5 linked regions of the Tribolium castaneum genome follow. The protein of the gene in region 1 purifies or fractionates together with the protein of each later gene. This does not show direct contact. Links are inferred from orthologs where the notes say so. Each region holds a gene or a part of one and is shown in the gene's direction. Other genes may lie near its edges. The genes, in order: probable 28S rRNA (cytosine-C(5))-methyltransferase, 60S ribosome subunit biogenesis protein NIP7 homolog, pre-rRNA 2'-O-ribose RNA methyltransferase FTSJ3, Nop56 and ribosome biogenesis regulatory protein homolog.

The links.
Region 2: the proteins of probable 28S rRNA (cytosine-C(5))-methyltransferase (region 1) and 60S ribosome subunit biogenesis protein NIP7 homolog purify together in Homo sapiens (affinity purification with mass spectrometry; 3 studies listed by BioGRID and IntAct, with this or other methods). This does not show direct contact. The link is inferred for Tribolium castaneum from reciprocal best matches to the Homo sapiens genes NOP2 and NIP7.
Region 3: the proteins of probable 28S rRNA (cytosine-C(5))-methyltransferase (region 1) and pre-rRNA 2'-O-ribose RNA methyltransferase FTSJ3 fractionate together in Homo sapiens (co-fractionation; 3 studies listed by BioGRID and IntAct, with this or other methods). This does not show direct contact. The link is inferred for Tribolium castaneum from reciprocal best matches to the Homo sapiens genes NOP2 and FTSJ3.
Region 4: the proteins of probable 28S rRNA (cytosine-C(5))-methyltransferase (region 1) and Nop56 fractionate together in Homo sapiens (co-fractionation; 3 studies listed by BioGRID and IntAct, with this or other methods). This does not show direct contact. The link is inferred for Tribolium castaneum from reciprocal best matches to the Homo sapiens genes NOP2 and NOP56.
Region 5: the proteins of probable 28S rRNA (cytosine-C(5))-methyltransferase (region 1) and ribosome biogenesis regulatory protein homolog fractionate together in Homo sapiens (co-fractionation; 3 studies listed by BioGRID and IntAct, with this or other methods). This does not show direct contact. The link is inferred for Tribolium castaneum from reciprocal best matches to the Homo sapiens genes NOP2 and RRS1.

The regions. Positions count from the first base shown.
Region 1 is NC_087395.1:22,664,771-22,669,731, reverse strand, and holds probable 28S rRNA (cytosine-C(5))-methyltransferase, read left to right. Parts: upstream 1-1,623; 5' UTR 1,624-1,721; coding exon 1,722-1,830; intron 1,831-1,873; coding exon 1,874-3,960; 3' UTR 3,961-4,027; downstream 4,028-4,961. Other genes in the region: serine/threonine-protein kinase pelle, read left to right, coding at 1-638, 903-1,052, 1,098-1,505. UniProt on the Homo sapiens protein: S-adenosyl-L-methionine-dependent methyltransferase that specifically methylates the C(5) position of cytosine 4447 in 28S rRNA. Required for efficient rRNA processing and 60S ribosomal subunit biogenesis.
Region 2 is NC_087402.1:3,023,079-3,026,209, forward strand, and holds 60S ribosome subunit biogenesis protein NIP7 homolog, read left to right. Parts: upstream 1-1,716; 5' UTR 1,717-1,829; coding exon 1,830-1,885; intron 1,886-1,937; coding exon 1,938-2,163; intron 2,164-2,209; coding exon 2,210-2,470; 3' UTR 2,471-2,499; downstream 2,500-3,131. Other genes in the region: protein SPT2 homolog, read left to right, coding at 2,674-2,733, 2,818-2,985, 3,030-3,131.
Region 3 is NC_087395.1:17,626,534-17,631,350, reverse strand, and holds the start of pre-rRNA 2'-O-ribose RNA methyltransferase FTSJ3, read left to right. Parts: upstream 1-1,608; 5' UTR 1,609-1,764; coding exon 1,765-1,831; intron 1,832-1,878; coding exon 1,879-2,636; intron 2,637-3,341; coding exon 3,342-3,590; intron 3,591-3,640; coding exon 3,641-4,773; intron 4,774-4,817.
Region 4 is NC_087395.1:14,127,806-14,132,026, forward strand, and holds Nop56 (nucleolar protein 56), read left to right. Parts: upstream 1-1,357; 5' UTR 1,358-1,489; coding exon 1,490-1,492; intron 1,493-1,607; coding exon 1,608-2,179; intron 2,180-2,229; coding exon 2,230-3,124; 3' UTR 3,125-3,194; downstream 3,195-4,221. Other genes in the region: wfs1 (wolframin), read left to right, coding at 1-1,284; lqfR (epsin-like protein), read right to left, coding at 4,118-4,221. UniProt on the Homo sapiens protein: Involved in the early to middle stages of 60S ribosomal subunit biogenesis. Required for the biogenesis of box C/D snoRNAs such U3, U8 and U14 snoRNAs. Part of the small subunit (SSU) processome, first precursor of the small eukaryotic ribosomal subunit.
Region 5 is NC_087399.1:2,010,091-2,014,927, forward strand, and holds ribosome biogenesis regulatory protein homolog, read left to right. Parts: upstream 1-1,507; 5' UTR 1,508-1,733; coding exon 1,734-1,876; intron 1,877-1,922; coding exon 1,923-2,412; intron 2,413-3,425; coding exon 3,426-3,682; intron 3,683-3,736; coding exon 3,737-3,863; 3' UTR 3,864-3,878; downstream 3,879-4,837. Other genes in the region: tubulin monoglutamylase TTLL4, read left to right, coding at 1-366, 447-498, 994-1,100; uncharacterized protein LOC103314109, read right to left, coding at 3,901-4,065, 4,113-4,276. UniProt on the Homo sapiens protein: Involved in ribosomal large subunit assembly. May regulate the localization of the 5S RNP/5S ribonucleoprotein particle to the nucleolus.

The DNA.
Region 1 (4,961 bases):
AGGCGTCCAATAATAACATTCCTGCCGTAATTAGCGATTTAGTGTCACAATCGAGCTCAGAAACCACTGAAAATGCCGATTCTGCGGTCAACAGACCGGAGTTATCGTCACTTTTGAACCAGTCAAGTGACGACTCTGAGCCCAATTTCAACGTTCCTGCAATCAGCGAATTGAGTCTGGCGTCAAGTTCCGACTCTTCGTCAAACTTCCCCGCTTTGAGTCAATTAATCGATTCTGAGAAAAATTCGCGGTCGTGTTCGTCGCCGCTCCCGAACTTGTCGCTGAACACTCCTTTGCCACACTTTAGTTACTGTGATTTAGCAACGGCGACTAATAACTTCGACGAGACACCGGTGGCCCAAGGGGGCAGGTTTTTGGGGTCGGGGGCTTTCGGTAAAGTTTATTTGGGTGTGGGGTTGGTTAGTAAACCAGTGGCGGTGAAGAAAGTCATTTTGGAAAATGTTGACGTCGTTCGAGTTGATGATATGGTTACTAAACAGTTCCGCAACGAAGTGGAGATTTTGAGTAAATATGAGCATGAGAATTTGGTGGCTTTGAGGGGCTATTCGTGCGATGGCGACACGTATTGCTTGTTGTACGAGTACGTCCCTGGAGGGGCACTCAAGGACCGGCTACAGGTCAGTGTTTGCCTACTGTGAGTAATTTTTAAAATAAAAAAAAAACAAACGAGATAAGACAATAATTGGGAAAATGAAAAACTTTTGTTAATCTGATTTTGTTTAATAGTTTTGAAATTTTTTGCCTGAAAATTTCATAAAAAATAAACAACTCGAAAACTAAAAGTCCTAGCAAAACGGTTTGTTGAAATCCAACAATTCTAGGTCAAGACCTAATAATTTTCGAAAGATTTTTTTCTTAAGATAATTAATAATTAATTTTAGAAACATGAGTTGATTTGGACGGAAAGGCTGTATGTAGCAATGGGGACAGCGAGGGCGATTGCGTATCTCCACACTGCATACGCAAGCCCCTTGATTCACCGTGACGTTAAATCTGCAAATATTTTACTCGACAGTAACAATAAACCAAAGGTTGTTTTTCGGTAGTTTGTTACAAAATAATCACTTTTTCTTCAGTTGTGCGACTTTGGGCTAATTAAACGCGCTCTCAACCAAAATACAAACACCGCAACTACAATTTTCGGGACTTCGGCTTACATGGCACCTGAGGCTTTCAGGGGAGACGTTTCAGTAAAGTTGGACACTTTCAGTTTTGGAGTCGTTTTGCTTGAACTACTCACTTCAATGCCTCCAATGGACGAAAGCCGGGAGGGAGTCGATTTGGTTACTCATGTGCAAGAAACCTGCCAGGACGGTATTAAACCATTGTTAGACACAACAGTTGGCTCATGGATGGCCAATAGTATTAATTTCGGCGAGAAATTATACGAGATTGCGACGAGTTGTTTAAAGGAGAAGAAAGAGAGACCCACTATGACATCAATTTGCGGTATTTTAGGCGATCTAGTCCAGAAATTTTTATAAAAGAATATATTCCATCAAATGATTATGTTATTTGACCCGCTTAAAACCCTCTTCCTCTGATTGGCTCCTATTAAATTCGTTATTCTATGATTGGACGGTTTGAAAGCTGTGCCAACGTAAATCACAAGTTGGTCACATTGAACGTCAAGATCCCTTAACCTTAAACTTGTGTTTTCACGTTTCAAATGCAGCACGTGTGTTTTATGAATCGGTAAAATGGGCAGAAAAGCGCGGTTTAACACGGAAGGAGTCCTCGTTAAACGAGGGCCTGGCAAAAAGGCAAAAAAACAAAAGGACCCGACGTTTCCGAAAGCGTTACTCAATGGTAAAAATACACGAGTGGTTTTCGTGTCTTATTGAACTTGTAGGTGATTCCGACGCGAAAAAACTGAGCCACAGACAGAAACAACGTTTGAAGAAAAGACTAGTTAAGAGGAAAGATGTGGCAAAAGTCGCTAAAGAAAGTAGTGAGTCAGAGCAGGAGGATGAAGAAGTGTGGTTGAAGCCTTCTGTGAGTCAAAATGACACGAAGGTTTTGCCTGGCGAGGGTTTCACGGACGATAACAAGTCCTGGCTGAAGCCCAAGCGGCAAGTTGTGATTGAATCTGAGGAAAGTGACGAGGAGGATTGTAAAGTAGGGACTTTGAACGACGTTTCGGACGATTCTGAACCTGACGATGACGACCTTCTCCCGATTGAAAAGGAGAACAAGATACTTAAGCAGCAACAAGATGAGGAGGAGCAGCTCGCTGAGGACGAGCTCCAAATGAACATTGCAGACAGCGAAAAGTTCAAACTCCCGTCAAAGAAAGAACGCGAAGAGACCGCAAGTTTGCAGGAAGTGCAACAACGCATCCGTGACGTGATCGGAGTCCTCTCCGACTTCACCAAACTCCGCGATGAGAAACACTCACGTTCCGACTACTTGGAGATGCTAAAAGCCGATCTTTGCACCTACTACAGCTACAACGACTTCCTAATGGAGAAGTTCATGCAGCTGTTCCCCCTGACCGAAGTTTTGGAGTTTCTTGAAGCCAGCGAAGTCCAAAGACCGTTGACCATCCGCACCAACAGTCTGAAGACGCGGCGTCGCGACCTGGCCCAGGCCCTGATTAACCGCGGGGTTAACTTGGACCCGGTGGGAAAATGGAGCAAAGTGGGCCTCGTTGTGTATTCTTCCCAAGTTCCGATCGGGGCGACCCCTGAGTATTTGGCCGGTCATTACATTATTCAAGGCGCTTCGAGTTTGCTACCGGTCATGGCGCTAGCGCCGCAAGAAAACGAGAGGATTCTGGACATGGCGGCGGCCCCCGGGGGCAAAGCCTCGCACATCGCCGCGCTGATGAAAAACACGGGGGTCTTGTTCGCTAATGATGTCAATAGCGAGCGAATCAAGGCAATCGTCGGGAATTTCCACCGGTTGGGGGTCGTTAATTCGGTCATTACGTGCGTGGACGGCCGAAAATTCCCGAAAATTTTGAAGGGATTTGACAGGGTCCTGCTGGATGCGCCCTGCACCGGGACGGGGGTTGTGGCGAAGGACCAGAGTGTCAAGACTAGCAAGGACGAGCAGGACATTCAGCGGTGCTATAATTTGCAAAGGGAGTTGCTCTTGGCGGCGATTGATTGCCTTAATGCCAAGTCGGAAACCGGCGGATATTTGGTTTATTCGACTTGTTCGGTGTTGCCGGAAGAGAACGAATGGGTGGTTGATTACGCTCTGAAGAAGAGGAACGTTAAGTTGGTCGATACGGGACTGGAATTCGGGAATGAAGGCTTTACGAATTATAGACAGTTTAGGTTTCACCCGAGTTTGAAACTGACGAGGAGGTTTTACCCGCATACGCATAACATGGACGGGTTTTTTGTGGCCAAGTTTAGGAAATTCTCAAATTTGATTCCGACGACTGCGGGCGAGGAGCAGGGCGAAAAGAGGGAATTGGAGGAGGAAGTGGAGGTTGAGGAAGTTAGCACTAAAAAACAGAAAAAGAATGGAGAAACGCAGCCGAAAAAGGCGAAGAAAAGTAAGGAAAATAATACGAGTCAACAAGAACTGAAGGAGAAAAGTAAAGAAATTAATACGAGTAAACAAGAACAGGACGAGGAAGTGAAGACTAAAAAACAGAAAGCGAAAAAGGTTAAGCAAAATGGGGATATTAAGGACAATAAACAAGAAAAAAATGCGGTTGTAGATGATGGTAAGAAGAAGAAAAATGTAGTGCAAAATAGTAAAGCGGATACGAGGAAAGAAGGAACGAATTCGCCGAAAGATAACAAATTGAAAAAGGAAAAGTCCGCAAGTCCGGGCAAGAAGAATGTGAAGACTGGTGAAAAACTCGATTGGGACAAAATTCCGAAAGAAGCTAGTGTGAAGCTTAATAAAAAGATTAAGAAAGTTAAGAAGAAACAAGTTGGTGTTATGAAGAATAAAATGTTCAAAAAGAAGCATACATAAAATCAATCATTTTTATTTAAATGTTCATTTTTTATTAATAAAAATAAAGCAATTATGATTAAGTATATATGTGATTTTTTATTGCTTACAAAAAATACCATCATTATTTTTATTCCTGATAACTCCGTAAAGCACCACTTTTGAAATAAACTAAATAAAGTAAAGATTTAAAAAAATCTTTAACCTTTCTGGGTTAAATGGAGACCGACATTCTTGTAACTTTTTTTCTTACATTTTTTAATTTTTTCTTTGTATTCGCAGCTGAAGAAAATTGGACGTATTGCAGTTTTTTAATGTTTTTTTCTTATGTTTGTCATGAAAATTTCAATCTTTTTTCTAAACTGTTAGTGAACTGCTTATTTAATTTAATTTAAATAAATTTTCAACAATTCGTAGCTACGAGTATGACGGTTTAACGCTCAGTATTCTCCTTTTTACTCGGCCGCTTGAAATTTTTGGGCACAAAAAAATAGTTTATATTATCTTAGCTAACAAACTACGTTTTATCTCAAAAAACGTGTTTGAAGATTTGAAAAATGCAAGCATGGTTCTATTTTTTGATTTATTTTCAACGAATAAATTGTGTACTGAAATGCAGAAAATATGTTACATATGCGTATGTAATGAAGTTTTCGTTTTTTTGTTGTCCGATTTAGCGATATCTTATTTTATTGCAGCATTTCATTCACTGAGTATCAATTGGAGTCATTATTCCTTTCCGAGGGGCAATATAACAAAGCCTGTTTCCCTAACAATATCAAATATCAATTTGGTAGAATGTACTCGTACATGGTTGAACAATACGCATTTCATATATTTTTTTGTGCTTTAAGAGATGTTCAGTGGGATTTATTCGGTGATTACATGTTCACACTATTTGACTTGGAATTACGAACCGAATTAGTTTGTTGTTAAAAAAAGCAAATAAAACAATGACTTTTATTTAAATCACTATCGTCGAATCCTAAAAATAATTTGTTCATAAAAATTTAATTAACACC
Region 2 (3,131 bases), on another chromosome or scaffold:
CCAACGTGGAAGCGATATGAAGGTAGGTGTATTTTATTGCTGTGTCGTATTTATTTATTTCAAAAAACCAATAATTTCATAAAACTTAATTGCAATTAAAATCTTTAAATGCGGTGTTGAAAAGTGATATTTTGAGTGACACATTTTAAATACAGAAACTATAAATAAAATAAAACACTCAAATAATTTACTGCCACGTAATTTTGTCTTTAATTTCAATGAATGAAAGTGGCTGGCTCAAAATTTAATGCAAATAAACTTTTTTTGGTTTCATTTTTATTATTATTTTTTTTAATGCTACAAACGGTAGCCAACGTGGAAGCGATATGAAGGTAGGTGTATTTTATTGCTGTGTCGTATTTATTTATTTCAAAAAACCAATAATTTCATAAAACTTAATTGCAATTAAAATCTTTAAATGCGGTATTGAAAAGTGATATTTTGAGTGACACATTTTAAATACAGTAACTATAAATAAAATAAAACACTAAAATAATTTATTGCCACGTAATTTTGCCTTTAATTTCAATGAATGAAAGTGGCTTGCTCAAAATTTAATGCAAATAAACATTTTTTTTGGTTTCATTTTTATTATTATTTTTTTTTGGTTTCATTTTTATTATTATTATTTTTTGTTTACTTTTTATTATTATTTTTTTTAATGCTACAAACGGTAGCCAACGTGGAAGCGATATGAAGGTAGGTGTATTTTATTGCTGTGTCGTATTTATTTATTTCAAAAAACCAATAATTTCATAAAACTTAATTGCAATTAAAATTTTTGAATGCGGTATTGAAAAGTGATATTTTGAGTGACACATTTTAAATACAGTAACTATAAATAAAATAAACCACTCAAATAATTTATTGCCACGAAATTTTGCCTTTAATTTCAATGAATGAAAGTGGCTTGCTCAAAATTTAATGCAAATAAACATTTTTTTTGGTTTCATTTTTATTATTATTTTTTTTTGGTTTCATTTTTATTATTATTTTTTTTAATGCTACAAACGGTAGCCAACGTGGAAGCGATATGAAGGTAGGTGTATTTTATTGCTGTGTCGTATTTATTTATTTCAAAAAACCAATAATTTCATAAAACTTAATTGCAATTAAAATCTTTAAATGCGGTATTGAAAAGTGATATTTTGAGTGACACATTTTAAATACAGTAACTATAAATAAAATAAAACACTAAAATAATTTATTGCCACGTAATTTTGCCTTTAATTTCAATGAATGAAAGTGGCTTGCTCAAAATTTAATGCAAATAAACATTTTTTTTTATTTCATTTTTATTATTATTATTTTTTTTAATGCTACAATATAATATAATATAATATATAATATAATCGGAAAAATATGTTATTAAAAATCAACTATGATACTTTTGTTATTCAAGTAACTGTTAGATTTTTTTAAGGAATGCCACTCATGACACGTGCCCGATTTGTAGAGAAAAACTGGAAAGTACCGATGACACATGGGTTATATCTGAGGTGCCAGAAGCAGAAGAGATTAGCAAAGAAATCAAGTCCAGTTTGATGGAACTTGCTGAAGACAAGGAATCTCCATGTTTATCTTCTTAATAGTCTGACATATGATTTCATGTTGTTAAATGTTATTTTACGAATTGATAAATACATCTCAAAACATACTGTGTAGTTATTTATTCACGTCAAAAGTGGCGCGATCTACAAGTTCACCAATACCACAACAGAGAAAACAAAAGTTGCAAACGATTTGAAACAAAAATTAACCTAAAAAATAGTTACAGTCAATAAAACTTTAATAATTATTTGAATTGGTAATTGAGTAAAGCCGGCACAATGAAACGACTCTCTGAGGAACGAACCAAAACCCTGTTTGAAAAGCTGGCAAAATAGTAAGTGCTGTTTCCAAAACACTCGTCACGTGTGTAACTTTCCTAAATTTAGTATTGGGCCCAACGTAAAATTACTGATAGAGCGGCCAGATGGGATCTACTGTTTCCGTGAGCAAAAGGACAGAGTGTATTACATTTCGGAAAAAATCCTAAAATTGGCCGAAACTCTGCCACCAAACCAGCTAATCTCTGCCGGGACATGTTTTGGGAAGTTTACAAAGTCGAACAAGTTTCGGCTGCACATAACTGCGTTGAGTTATTTGGCGCCTTACGCCCAGGTGAGTTCGCGGTCACAATTACGCGGAAAATAACGAGTTATTTTAGTGCAAAGTTTGGCTAAAACCATCAGCGGAGCAACAATTCCTTTACGGCAATCACGTCTCAAAGGCGGGTTTAGGACGAATAAGTGAGAACACGGAGAAATACCAGGGGGTTTTGGTGTACAGTATGTCCGACTTGCCGCTGGGGTTTGGGGTAGCGGCGAGGTCCACAGCAGAGTGCAAACACGCCGACCCTCTGGCCCCCGTCTGCTTCCATCAGGCAGACATCGGGGAGTACATCCGATCGGAGGAAGATTTATTGTGATTTAAGAAATAAATTTTTACGAATTTGTATTATCCGCGTTTTATTTGGGGATTTTGTGGTTTTGTTTTGGCACCGTTTGCGCCTACTTTCGCGTTTATTTCAGTGATAATGGCGCATGATGACATGTACGACGTAAAAGTGAAATATGTCATGACATAAATCGGATTTTTCTCAGTTTTTTTGAGCAATTAGCACGGAAAAACATGGATTTTGGTACGCTTTTGCACACCGCCCAAAAAAATGAGAAAGGCTCCAAGAAAGAGGTAACTTTAGACACTTGTTACACCAACAAGAAATTTCTTCTGGAACTTTTCACCAAGTTCATGGATAATTTGATACAATTTTAGCCCGTCAGGTACTACAGTACCAAATTCGAGCCTCCAAAGAAGGAACAACGCAGTAAACAATTGTCGGAAAACATCAAAAAGTTTTTAGCGAAGAAGGAGGCCGAAGAGAGGGAAAAGAAACTCGAAGCTTTGAAGAAAAAGGAGGAATTGTTGGCTCTGAGGGCTAAGGTACGGCTCCGAGTGATCGTTTCAGTGTTTATGGTCGTTTTTAGGACAAAAAAGCAACAAGACGGGTTAATGTGATGTTAAAGCGTACTAAATCTGCAAACCAATCCGTGCTTCAAGACGCTGTTGATGCTAACAACACTTCGGTG
Region 3 (4,817 bases), about 5.0 Mb from region 1:
ATCTAGAATAAACTCGACTAGCGGCTAGCCCCTGCCGGTCTACAAATGTTCGCTCAGTCGAAATGTTGCGAGCGAGGTCGGAACAGTACGAACGGAGACCATAACGGACTTCTCATTTCAGCTGGGCATATTCACAGAATAACAGGTTTTACAGAAACGCATCTGTCCTTGTCCGGATAGAGCGAAAGTGTCACTAGCACATCTATTGTTGCCAGCGCGTACTAAGCGTTATCGGCGGGCGATTTGAATTGCCCGTAGTTACTTTTCTTTTAAAGTTTGATTGCATTTTTCGTATTGTTTGTAAATATTCACAACAATAGTTGCTAATAACACTTTCTGATGTTAGACAACTATTGTTGCTGAATATTTACAAAGAATACGAAAAATAAAATATGAGAATACATAAAGACAATAAACTTGTAATAAAAATTTATTATCACTAGTCAATATACACGATACGATAACTATAAACTAATGATTGATCCATCAAATTATTTATATTCCCACAATAAAAAAGTTCAAAAAAGCACACACACGAAAAAAACCACAAAACAGTACTAATTTCACATAAAACAAAGCCGAAGGCGAACACCAAACAAACCAAGCACAAAATGGCGATTTACACAATGGCAACTGTCACAGGTCCACTGTTAATTTCTGCCGATATTATAGGTAGCTTCGCTAAAATTGACTATACGTGTGTGCGACATCTGCGATAGCAAGCCGAACTACAGTCGATTTTGAATTTGGCGCCTATACTTGGCTTGGTGCATTTAGGTTTCACCACCCTGGGCATATTGGAATAGTGGTTTTTATGGAAATATGTTGCGCGTGGCTGGGGCTTCGCCCCAGTTAACTAAAAGGAAACAAACCCCACGACCAATTAAACTCGAAAACGTGGAACTCGAAACGTGGAATAGTGTTTATGTTTATGAACTGTACGCCACCCTAGCTCCATAAAAAAACACTATTCCACGTTTCGAGTTCCACGTTTTCGAGTTTAATTGGTCGTGGGGTTTGTTTCCTTTTAGTTAACTGGGGCGAAGCCCCAGCCACGCGCAACATATTTCCATAAAAACCACTATTCCAATATGCCCATCAATGCCGATTGTTAATGTAATTATTTTTGAAATACTCAGAAAACTCTTTAGACTTAACCAGCCCAGCTGAAATGGAAATCCGTTATGGTCTGTTCGTACTGTTCCGACCTCGCTCGCAACATTTCGACTGAGCGAACATTTGTAGACCGGCGGGGCCTAGCCGCTAGTTAAACTCGGACCATCGCGAACGCCTCCCATTGGCTGACGCACAAGGAGGGGTCACGTGACGCAAACATTTAGAGGCCGCTAATAAATGGAAATTTTGATAATGCAGTTCCAATTTCACAAAACTCTATTATGCACTAACAACCCATACTTTGCTTTTCTTATGTATAAAACAAAATTAAACAAATGGGTCAAAATGACACGCCATGCAGTGCAATTTGTATTGGTTGATAAAACTATTTTTCCCCTTTTATCAGCGAAACATTTAATAATAACAACTGGATAAAAATTTTGAAAAAATGCCAAAAAACCGCAAATTAAAACATGTGAGTTGGTAGCATTGCTTTTTGATAACGCAAAAAGGATAGTCATATGTGTGTTTCGTTTGCCCGACAAGGACAACAAATTCCGAATGACATTCTGTCAAAAGTCAAAAGCCATGTGTGTTTGCTGAAAACAAATTAGTTTTTTCGCTTTCCAGAATTAAAAAAGCGCCAACATGGGAAAGAAAACTAAAATTGGGAAACAGCGCAAGGATAAGTACTATCAATTGGCCAAAGAAACCGGTACGTTTTCCCAAAACTTGGCACCATAACCTCACTTTCGCCTTCAGGTTTTAGGTCTCGTGCAGCCTTCAAATTGATTCAACTCAACCGCAAGTTCGAGTTTTTGCAGAAGTCGCGAGTATGCATCGACCTGTGCGCCGCCCCCGGGGGCTGGATGCAGGTGGCCAAGCAGAACATGCCCGTTTCGAGCGTCATCATTGGGATTGACTTGTTCCCAATTAAGCCCATTCCTGGGTGCATTTCGCTGACTGAGGACATTACGACCGAGAAATGCCGCGTCTCGCTCAAGAAAGAGCTGCAGACGTGGAAAGCCGACGTTGTTTTGCACGATGGCGCCCCAAATGTGGGCAAGAATTGGCTGCATGATGCCTATCAGCAGGCATGCCTGACGTTGAGCTCTTTGAAACTGGCCAGTGAGTTTTTGAAGAAAGGGGGCTGGTTTATAACCAAAGTGTTTCGTTCGAAGGATTACCATTCGCTGATTTGGGTTTTGAAGCAGTTTTTTAAAAAAGTGCATGCCACCAAACCACAAGCTTCGCGTAATGAATCGGCGGAAATTTTCGTCGTTTGTCAACACTACATCGCACCTGATAAAATCGACTCCAAGTTTATGGACCCGAAATATGTTTTTGAGGAGTTGGAAATTGAGCCTAAAGAGAAATTGAATATTTACCATCCTGAGAAAAATAAGAAGAGTAAAGCTGAGGGGTACCCCGAGAATGATTGGACTTTGTATCATAAGATTAAAGCATCAGATTTTATTAAACACCCTACAGGGATCGAACTCCTAGAAGGGGCTTCTGAGGTAAAAACGCCCAAAAAAACTTCACTTTTAGTCCATAGATGTGATTAAACACTCGGGAAAAGTATAATTTGGTAAATTTGTGACTTTTTCTTAAAGAGATTTTGAGAAATAATTGCGCTTCTGCATTATTGAAATCTCGCAATAATAGTATATTATTATGCAAGTTTTATAAGACGTTTTATTGTAGCACGAATCGTTTTGGAGCACAACAAAGGAGTACTCCAATAGAATGAGTGTCACAATTAAGTCTTATAAAACGCACTCGTTTTATTACGTATATTACACTTAATATACTATTTTTTGTACTTTCTATTTTTGTTATTTGTTTTTGTTTAATTTAATTTATCAAAATCTGTTCAAACTATTTCCTCTTAATTTTGTTAATTATTCGGGCTTTACAGTGATGACTCACAGCCCAGCACTGCCAATACAACTCCTAAAAATTTACTAAATGGAGTTGCACAAAAGTTCTTTTTGTGAAACTACTTTAAAGCGCCCTCATTTTTTCTCTGCCGTACTGTTTCTTTGGGTTCAGAAAATCCTGCGATTTTGTACCCCATTTCATCCCCTAAGTTTAGTCCTCCGTATTCTTGGCTAATGAAAAATGCTAATTGTCGTTAATATTCGGGGAAGTACTCAATTTTGAAAACATAGGATCAACTAGAGGATCAACATAATTTGGTTGCTTTTATGATTTTTTTGTAGATCGTTTTTGACGTTGAAGAAATAACAAATCACGAAAAAACTACAAACGAAATTAAAGAATGTTGCAAGGATATTAAAGTTTTGGGAAGGAAAGATTTGAAGAAGCTCTTGGCTTGGAAGAAGGCATTGAGTGAAGAGTTTTCTGAGAAGAAAAATGAACCTGTTGAAGAAGAGGTTGAAGAAACTGTGGAGAAAAGTGACGACGAGGATGATTTGAAGGACGTCCACCAACAAATATTGGAACTTGAAGTAACACACTATTTAACAAAATTTGTGACTAATTAAAATATAATTTGTAGAGTGAAGAGCAGCGCGAATTGAAGCGAAAAAAGAAAAAAGCTCAAAAGGAGCGCAAAAAGCTGAACGAAAAATTAAACTTGAAGATGGTCTTGAAAGGTGATAGTGGCCCCACAATGGAAAGTGACGGCATGTTTGAACTAAAACAAGTAACAAGCACCAAACAGATGAAGAAAATTATTGATCAAACGCCTGATACTCTTGCTCAATCAGACAATGAAGAAGATGAAATCAAATCAAAATATTTGCGTTATAACAAGGACGAGCAACATTTGAGTAGTTCAGGATTGTATTATAAAGATTCAGATTCTGAGTTGGAAATGGAAAGCGAGTCTGAGGACGAAGATGGGAAAATTAAGGAAGGTCTAGATTTAAGCGATAGCGAAAATAGCGATGTGGAAGAACAGAAAACTAAATCGAAAACGAAACCAAAACATCCTCTCATAACGGACTTGGACCACAGAAGTAAGGAAGAGAAAAAAGTGCACAAAGCCGAAATGTGGTTTGAAAGAGACGCTTTTAAGAATCTAATAGACGAGAAAGACGAAGACGCTGATTTGGACCGACTGGTGAGTGAAATGAAGAAGAAAGGAGCCAAGATTATCGGAGAGGAAGAAGATGCGAAAAACACAGAGTCGGATAGTGACTACAGTTCGGATTCAGATGATTCCGAATACGAGGATTTTGAGAAACTTGCCCCTAAAAATAACGTAAAGAAGGACGGTTTTGAGATTGTCCCCGAGGGGCAAAAAGTAGGCAAGAAACGTAAACATAAATTAACTGAGAAAGAATTGGCGTTGGGTACGCTAATGATCAACAGCAAAAAAACAAAACGTGACATAATTGACGCCGCTTGGAATCGTTACGCTTTTAATGATGACAACTTGCCTGATTGGTTTGTCAAAGATGAGGAGAAACATATGAGGAAAGAAGCTGCGGTTCCCAAAGAGTTGGTTCAAGATTACAAGAAGCATTTGGAGGAGTTGAATGTGCGTCCGATTAAAAAAGTGATCGAAGCCAAGGCAAGGAAGAAGAAGAGGGCGTTGAAGAAGTTGGAAAAAGCAAAAAAGAAGGTTGAGAATTTAATGGATAATGTTGATGTGACGGATCGAGAAAAGGCGCGACAAATCAAACAGTTAGTTTTGTTTATTGTTACTGCATTCATCTTAAACATTTTAT
Region 4 (4,221 bases), about 8.5 Mb from region 1:
CTTGCGAAATACCCCTACGAGACTGATCCAGTGGTGGCACAAGGTTGGCGCTTTCTCGACCTAAAAATCCCAACTTTCGCCAGCTATGTGATAGGAAACGGCATCGAATTTTGTATCAATTTCCGCCTGTTTCTCTACATGTTTATCCCGCTTTTGTTGGTCAAAATCGCCTCACGCCAGGATTGGAAAGGCACGTACCAAATGTTGATCCCCCACTGTGTGACCCTGAGCTGGCTCCAGGTGTGCATTGTGAGCTCCGAGGGGGCCACAATGTACGGCCTGTTGCGCGGCAGCTTGGCCTTAGTGGGGGTGGTGCTGTTCCTGCCCCTAGTGGGGCTCACAAGTGTGATACTCCCCGCAGCTGCGCTAGCGAAATGGGTCGTGGCTTCGAATTTTTTTCTCGGGGTTTGTGTCTTCGTGGGGGCCACCGGGTTAGGCCTGGCGGTATGTTGGGTTTGTGCCCAAACGAGGTTCAGCAAAATCACCGCTTTTATTCAAGTCGTTTCGACGATTTTTGCTGTTTTAACCCTCATTAAGTCAAATTACAAAAATGAGGAACACTATTTTGAAAATAAACTACCCGAGTATTTGTCGTGGGACGTTTATCAGCGGTTTTGCCACCAGCCGGTGTGGCAGGAGGAAAACATCGCAATTGCTCAAGTGAAGTGCTCCGAACTGCACAACTCGCACATCAATTGGGACGGTTACATCAACGATATTAAAATTTCGTCGATCTCGAATAAGTTCCAAACGATTATTGATCACTTCCCTGTGACTTTGCGCCATTATCTTTACTGTTTTTACGGGGAAGAGACTCGAAATGATTGTACTGATTTCCCCCCCGCGGTTCGTGAAGAGTGCAGCTCGTTCTACAATGCAATAAAATCGACTAAAACGTGTTCGCTTCAAAAATACAATTCGTACACGTTTGAAATAACAACGAAAGTGCAGTCAGCGATTTGGGGCAAAAGCCCCGAAGTCACTCTTGTAGTTGACGATTATTTTCGAAATTTCACCCTGGGGCTTAAGCCAAATGACCACATTTGGTTCAAAGGCACGTTGTTTAATAACGAGGTTGTGGGGTCCGATGGGATTTTAGGGGGGTTCAAAACCCATGTAAAATTGGACGAAATTGGTTGCCTTGCGTGTAGTAATAATAAACTGACGAATGTTAAAAAAGAGATTGAATCTAGATTTGATATTAAGAATGTTATTGATGGTCTCGTTTTGGGACTCAAGTTTGTCCTCAATGTTATTTTAAGTCCAGTCGTAGTGTTTAAGTGATTTGTTACGTAACTTATTGAGAATTGTATTTATTTATGTTAATAAATGTAAGAGATTATTTAAGTTGTGCGCCAGAATTTAAATTTTCGTCAGCTCCACCACTACACTGCCGTAAAAATTACCAGCGAAATCGCGCAAACACGTGTGATTGTGATGCGTGCTGTTATAGAATTTAATTAATTTTAGCCCAATTTTATGCCTAATTATGGTAAGAATTCAATATTGCATAACTAGAACATTGCTAATTGCTCGTTTTTTGGAACAAGCAAAGTTATAGCAATGTTTGTAAATATAACCTCACTCTAGCGCCGCATGTTTTTCAGTCTAAACTTTATGTGTTATTCGAGCACGCTGCCGGCTATGGGGTTTTCAAAGTGCAGGAATTTGAAGAAATCGGTATGCTGCTGCCCCAGTTGGAGGCAGCCGTGCACGACCTAGCCCGCTTCAATAGCGTAGTCGAACTCGTTGGTTTTTCGCCGTTTAAAACAGCCATTGCGGCTTTAGAAAGCATCAATGCAATCTCGGAGGGTGTTTTACCCGAAGATTTGCTACACTTTTTGGACATCACAGTCCCGAAAAGTAAGAAAAAGAATAAGCTTACGTTGGGGGTGAGTGACCCCAAGTTGGGGGCTGCCATCACCGAAGCGCTTGGGATACAATGTAGCCACGTCGGAGCTGTCCCGGAGGTAATCAGGGGTATCAGGCACCATTTCCATAACCTTGTGAAAGGTTTCACTCAGAAAAGCTCAGCCGTGGCCCAACTGGGGCTCGGGCATGCATATTCACGAGCCAAGGTCAAGTTTAACGTCCACAGAGTTGACAATATGATAATACAATCCATAGCTCTTTTGGACCAACTCGACAAAGACATCAACACTTTCTCGATGAGAATTCGGTACGATTTTGCGAATTGTCCAAATTTTCTTTCTAACAAGTGTATTGCAGCGAATGGTACTCTTACCATTTCCCGGAGTTGGTGAAAATAGTCCCCGAGAACTACACCTACGCCCGTTTGGCAAAATTCATCAAAAACCGCAAAGAACTAAGCGAGGACTCTCTCGAGGGCTTGGAAGAAATCACGATGGATTCAGGCAAAGCCCAGGCGATTTTGGACGCCTCCAAGTCCAGCATGGGCATGGACATAAGCGTTGTTGATCTACTGAACATCGAAATGTTTGCCGGCCGGGTGATAGCTCTAGCCGACTACAGAAACCAACTTTCCGAATATTTGAAGACAAAAATGACCGACGTGGCCCCAAATCTGGCCAAACTAATCGGCGAACAAGTGGGGGCGCGCTTGATCGCCCACGCTGGGTCTCTGACAAACCTTGCCAAGTACCCGGCGTCCACGGTTCAGATCCTCGGGGCTGAAAAAGCCCTTTTCAGGGCTCTTAAAACCAGGGGGAACACCCCGAAGTACGGCTTACTCTTCCACTCCACTTTCATAGGGCGAGCTGGGGCTAAGAACAAGGGGCGCATCTCGCGATATTTGGCGAACAAGTGCTCGATCGCATCGCGAATCGACTGCTTCACTGAACAACCGACGCAGATTTTTGGCGAGAAGTTGAGGCAACAAGTTGAAGACAGGCTCAAGTTTTACGAGACAGGGGACGTCCCCAAGAAGAATATCGAAGTCATGAAGGAGGCGATGGAGGAGTTGGAGCAAGAAACGGCGCACAATAAGTCCGAGAAGAAGAAGAAAAAGAAGAAACATAAGCTGAACGAGACGAGTGAGTCTGTGGGAGAGAATGGCGTGGACCAGACGACCAATGGGAATGCAGATGAGGCGGAGGAGCCGCCCAAAAAGAAGAAGAAGAAAAATAAGCAGGAAGTTGAGTAATTGTTTGTTTGAGAGTCGGGTATTTTTATTCTTGTATAATCTATTATTTTTAAATAGATACTTGATCAAATTGAGGTCGTAATGCTTAAACCTGTTATCCTACCAATAAAACCATGGGTAATATTCACAACAATTTATTTTATATGTTTTTACAATAAACTAAATGAGCGGAATGTTCAAACAGTTACTAACTGTAACATGGATAGTGTTATCGATAATAAGGCACCACGGTATCGCAACCTTCAACGAAAAAGAAAAAACTGCCGATAGGTCGAATTTGTTTTTATTTTATAGAAAATTATTAACAATGCAATATTGCTTTATCTGTTTGCTAACAGAGCCGATTTTGCTGTTCCTACAAATTAGTTGTATAAATAGTTGCGTAATACTAAATAAAATATGAACAAACTTAAATGTACCCAGCACCCTCATGAGCATTGTAATACAACCAAACGGACTATACAAAATATGTGCAAGAAAACCGTTTTTAAAAACTATAAACGCAAGACCAATTGGCTCAATCTCAACGATTAAAGTACAATCTTTGGAATTTCGAATAAAAATTAGGTGCTTTAAAAGCTTGGAAACAGTTGCTTATTTGGCTGATTGAAAGCATTCGTTTGGGGGAAGCCTTGAGCGTTGAAGTTCATCGCATATTGATTTGTTAATTTCGGTTGATTAACGGGTGAGGTTGGATTGCTCGCCAATTGGTTCATACTAGGTGAGACTCCTTGTTTTGGTTTCGTCACGAGTAAATTATCTAAATCGATATTTAAGTTGCCTGAGTTGCTCCACGTCGACCCGATATTCTGTTGGTTTTTATTTGCTGGTGTTTTAACCTCGGTGTTGTTATTGGACGATGCGGAAGACAACGGTTGAAGGGGCTGTTGGGCCGATGTGGGGGTTAGCAACGGACCTGCATCAAACCGCGCTATCAAGCCAAGCAAACAAATGTAATTAGTGCAATGAAACACCCAGTTAGTACGAAAAGCTTTATTCATCGTCAACTTTCAAGAAACTATCAATAATGCACATAGTACTAGCCGCTAAACTCCGACACTCCGAATTCGGCTCTCCTCGGGTCACGCTCAAGCTCA
Region 5 (4,837 bases), on another chromosome or scaffold:
TTCGACCCCAAATTGTACACAACTTCGCTCACGAAAAAAGAGCGGGAAAAGCACACACTTTTCGAACAGTATGAGTCACGACACGACTACCTCGACGATATTTTGGCCGAATTGACTGGCGATGATGTGCGAAAGTTGACGCAAGCCGAAGACGAGTGGTGTGTTAAGGGGCGTTTCGAGAGGATTTTCCCCACCTCGCAGACGCACAAGTATTTGAATTTCATGGAAGTTCGGTATTATAATCGGCTGTTTGATGCGTGGGAGTGCCGATTTGAGAGGAACAGGCAGGAAGGGATTAACTTATTGAAGGCGTTATGCGCCGAAAAAGTGCACTTAAAAGTGGCGCCGCAGAGTACGCTACACAAGGTAATTTCATTGCGTTAGTTAAGTGTGGGGGTTGAGTTTTTGTTTCAATTTTTTTTGTTTGGGTGGTACTACCTACCAAGGCGAGACATTTCGTACTGGCAACACTGCAAAGCGTTTGTTCACAATGTCGCAGTAAGTCGGGACGTGGTGTTGTTTGTGTGTCTACACTAATGGCATATGAATTTTTTTCTATCGTCTAGTTCTAATTCCCGCAGGATTTTAGTCATAGCAGATAGACACGTAATAGATTAAAATTACTAATAGGTAGGACATAGGAGTACTAATTTCGTGTTAGGGGTTTCTAGTCACAGATGGCCAACTTAAAAAGCTCGGTTGAGTTAATTTCCGTCCAGATGGCGCGAATTTTAATTCTTGTGTCGAAACGTGTGCCCTTTTGAAAAAATTGGAGAACGGTGGACAGGTGTGGGAAAGTGGATATTTTTTTCTAAGGAGTCGGCCGTCTGTATGTCTGTGTAGTTGGGATTTTAGAAGAAACTGGGCATTTATTGAAAGCAATTAAACATTTATTACGTTTTATAAATAAATGCCCAGTTGGGCAAATAGTTGCACGACTTAGTTAGGGTCCCACAGTTGGTTGGGCCAATCTGACAGCTTGTAATTCCCCAGAATTCGCTGAGTACGAGCCATGGGTGTGCGAGTCTGCAGCCGTCGAGGGAAGGCCAGAGTCGGCCTCTTGCAGAAATCCTGCAAGAGGTCACAATCGAAAGCTCTAGCTGTAATTAACTGTATAAGTGAGTTGTTTGTTGCGGTTTTTCCCGTTCTAATCAAGTGGCGGTTTCAGATGGAATTCTAGAAGTGTGTTTCTTTTGTTACGAATGAGGACAAACACCAGCATTTAAACTGCCAAATTTGTACGTTGTTTTAATTCCTTGTTAAATTATTGTAGCGAGATATTCCATTTACATTTGCATTTACAGCAAAGTGTTTTTTAATTGATTTTTATTAGTGTATTGAGTCTGATGAATAAAATATTTCTTTTACATTAAATGTCTTCGTCTGGGTCCGGGACCGCGTTCCTCGGGATCTCAATCCTCTGGACTGTGACGTTGAGTTGCATCCTTATATCCAGCAAAAAGCACAGAAACAGGATAAAGAGGGGCACCTTGAGACGCAGGGTGTAGCCCAGCTTGAGCAGAAAAAGCAAAGGTTCGGCGAGTGGCATGACTCAGCACCACCACGATCACATTTTTACAAAGAAACGCCCAGATTTTGGCAAAATATTTTGAAATTGGTTGACATTTGTCAGCGACAGGTGTCAGTTCGCCAGCCGAATCTGGGGATTTTCGCTCCACGTGTAACCGTTTTGTCGCAAGTGAGGTTAGAATCCCCAGACAGGTTTTAACAACATGGATGTTGTTAAAACAATTTTGGAAAAATCGGCCAAAGAGGCCGAGAAATACAAATCAGTGGAAGTTAACAAGTTGGTGAGCATCGATTTAGGCGCCTTGCTGGCCGAAGACCTGAACCCGCTCGATCCCGGCGCGTTGAGGTGAGTTTTGGGGTCCGCTGAGCACGCTTTTCTGACCCAATTTTAGGAGCTCCACCAACGATTATTTACTGAATTTGACTCGGGATAACACCCAGTTGCTGTTTAACCAAATCTGGGAGTTGCCCACGGAGCGGATAGACGAAGCAATTGTCGCGAAGTTGCCCAAGCAGAAGTTTTGTTTACCGCGCTTCAAGCCCGTGCCGAGGCCCAGGCCGCTGACCAAGTGGGAGCAGTTCGCCAAAGCCAAGGGCATAGTCAAGAAAAAGAAGAGTAAGTTGTCTTGGGACGAGCAGCTGCAAAAGTGGATCCCGCTGTATGGTTTCAAACGGAGCGCCGCCCTCAAGGAGAAGGACTGGCTGATTGAAGTGCCACAAAATGCGGACCCTTTGGAAGACCAGTTCGCCAAGAAAGTCGAGGCTAAGAGCGAAAAAGTCGCCAAGAATGAACTGCAAAGGCTGCGCAACGTCGCCAAAGCGAAAAATGTGAAAGTGCCCAGGTTCGGGCTCACCAACCCTGAGGTTTCGTCCGCAAAAGACGTGAGTTTTTGTATTTTTATCGTGTGTACGGCCGGAAATTTAAGTGTTGCACCAAGTTGAAAAATACGTGAATTTGTGTTGTTTTATTAAACGTTTAAAGTAGTTGCTTCTTTTTTAATAATAATGATATAACAATAAGCCGTCTTTATTCGAACCGTAAATACAACTCGGGAGGCGAAATTGAACTTAATTCCCTTAAGAAACGAAGAAGTAAATGAATAAATGAATAAATTAAATTGACAAAAATTGCTCTAAAAAAATAATAGCAAATAAAGCAAGAAGAAAATAACAAAAAGCAAAAACAATTTTGGAAAAAACTATAGATCTAAACATGAGTGACAAATAATAAGGCCATAGTTAAAGTTGGAAAGCATCAAAAAAGATTGGCGGAGTTTTTGTCAAATTTTTTTCTGAACCTTAAAAAGGTAAAAAAAATAAAAATTCAAAAATTTAATTCTGGATTTCCGGAAAAGTAAAACTAAGCTAGCTTTTAAAATACTGTTATGAGCGATTTTTCACTTGTATAAAACCAAAAATTAAACTTTTATGGAAAAAAACAAACAAAAGAAACAACAAAAAAATAATAGAATAATATAATATTGGCATTAAAAAAATCAAGTTAGCCTTGTTTCCCCAGAACAAATGACGACAGAACTTTGATACACATCTGAGACGATAGAATTTACATAATTTCGAACATATACCAAATTTCATTAAGTTTTGATGAATAGTTTTTATAATATTTAAATGGATGCCTGCATATGATCTGAATAATTACATAATTTACGAATTCTGATATTTCTGAGCTGTATATTAAAAATAGAAATGGTCCCAAAATTGAGCCTTGTGGGAATTCCGGATGTAATGTTATCTGCCTTTGATTGTGAGCTGTCTATAGTAACAATTTAGTTTTTATTTGTTAAATACGAATAAAAAATTTGGAATTTTGTTAAAACCTTTAACATAAAAAGTATTAACTTTTTGTTTTCGAAATCAAAATGTTTGATTTTTAGTTGCAAGCGGCGGTAACAGTGGCTAAATCGTCAACCGCAAGTCTGGGAAAATTCCAAGACAAGCTCCCCAAGGAGAAGGAGGCGAGAGGCGTCGCTGCTATCACTCCCGGAGCGACGAGAAAACGAAAATTACCTCCAATTTCGGGTCAAAACGAGAAAAACCAAAACCTAAATCTCGTAGACGAGGTTTTGAACAAACGACCGAAGATAAATATTGAAAAAGCGGTAGCCCGACAAATAAACGACGAACAAGCGCAGTGAGTGTTTTACTCAGTCGGTGGTCCAAAAAATTCATATATTTTTTTTCCCAGGAGATCTGATGAGAAAAACCGAACTGGGCGCAAGAAAGGCCTGCGAAAGTCTGGAGGCGGCAAGAAGCCGAAAAACACGAACCGGCCCCGAAAGGGCAAAGCCGCCGGGGGCCGGAAGCGGCGCTAGTTTTGTTCCAATTGTATATTTTTACTTAGAGGTGAGTTTAAACATAGATTGTTTCTCCCTGTTTTTCCCATCCAAGACTCGGGTCTTTCGACACGGCCATGTAGACCAGAGTGCCCTCGCCTGGGAGGGGCTTAGCCGCCACGTAAGTCCGCTTATCGCTCGACCAGCGGCACATGAAATCGCGGCCTCGGCTCTCGTCAGCCTTAAATTACAAATCAGTTTTTTGTTTCAGTTAAGACGATTTGTTACTTTAGTGTCGAGTGGAGAAGGGCCGAGATAATCTTCACCTTGGACTGCCTTGTGGAGGACTTGGAGGAAGTACTTGAAGAAACTGTTTCGGTTTTTCTTCACTGTTGTATCGGTTGCTTTCAATTGACGCAACTTCAAAATCCATTTCTTACAAATTTCTTTGTCTGGAAGTGTGTATATAATCTAGAGTGACTTTTGTATATAACCAAACACGTTTTGGCCCATCGAAGTGGGCGAGAATTGTGGTTTTGTGCGCTGGATAAGGTTCCTAACAGTAGAGGTTTTACTGTTACGGAATCGGGGTGTATTTGAGAATCTAATAAAATCTTCGGAAAAAAATTGATTTTTATTTCCACTACTCGTTAGAGCATTTTAACTGTTGCCCTACGTTCATCACGTCATTTTACGACTAGAACGCGTATTTTTCGAGCACGACGGCGTAGTCGGAGTGCTCGAAATAGAGCAAGGATTCATGTTTTTTTTTACAATAAATACGTATTGCTAAAAAACTATTTTTTCATTTACCACGAACTTTGGATATAACGAACTGATTTTGATGCCTTTTCGGAGTTCGTCATAATGGGACTCCACTGTATGTTAAAATGATGTTTTGGACAAAAAACTTGATTCAATTAAAAAAAAAAACAATTGTTTAAAGAAAAAATTCTGTCTGGTTATTAGTTTCTGACGTATAGTAAAAATATTTCAATAATGTGGTGTGGCAT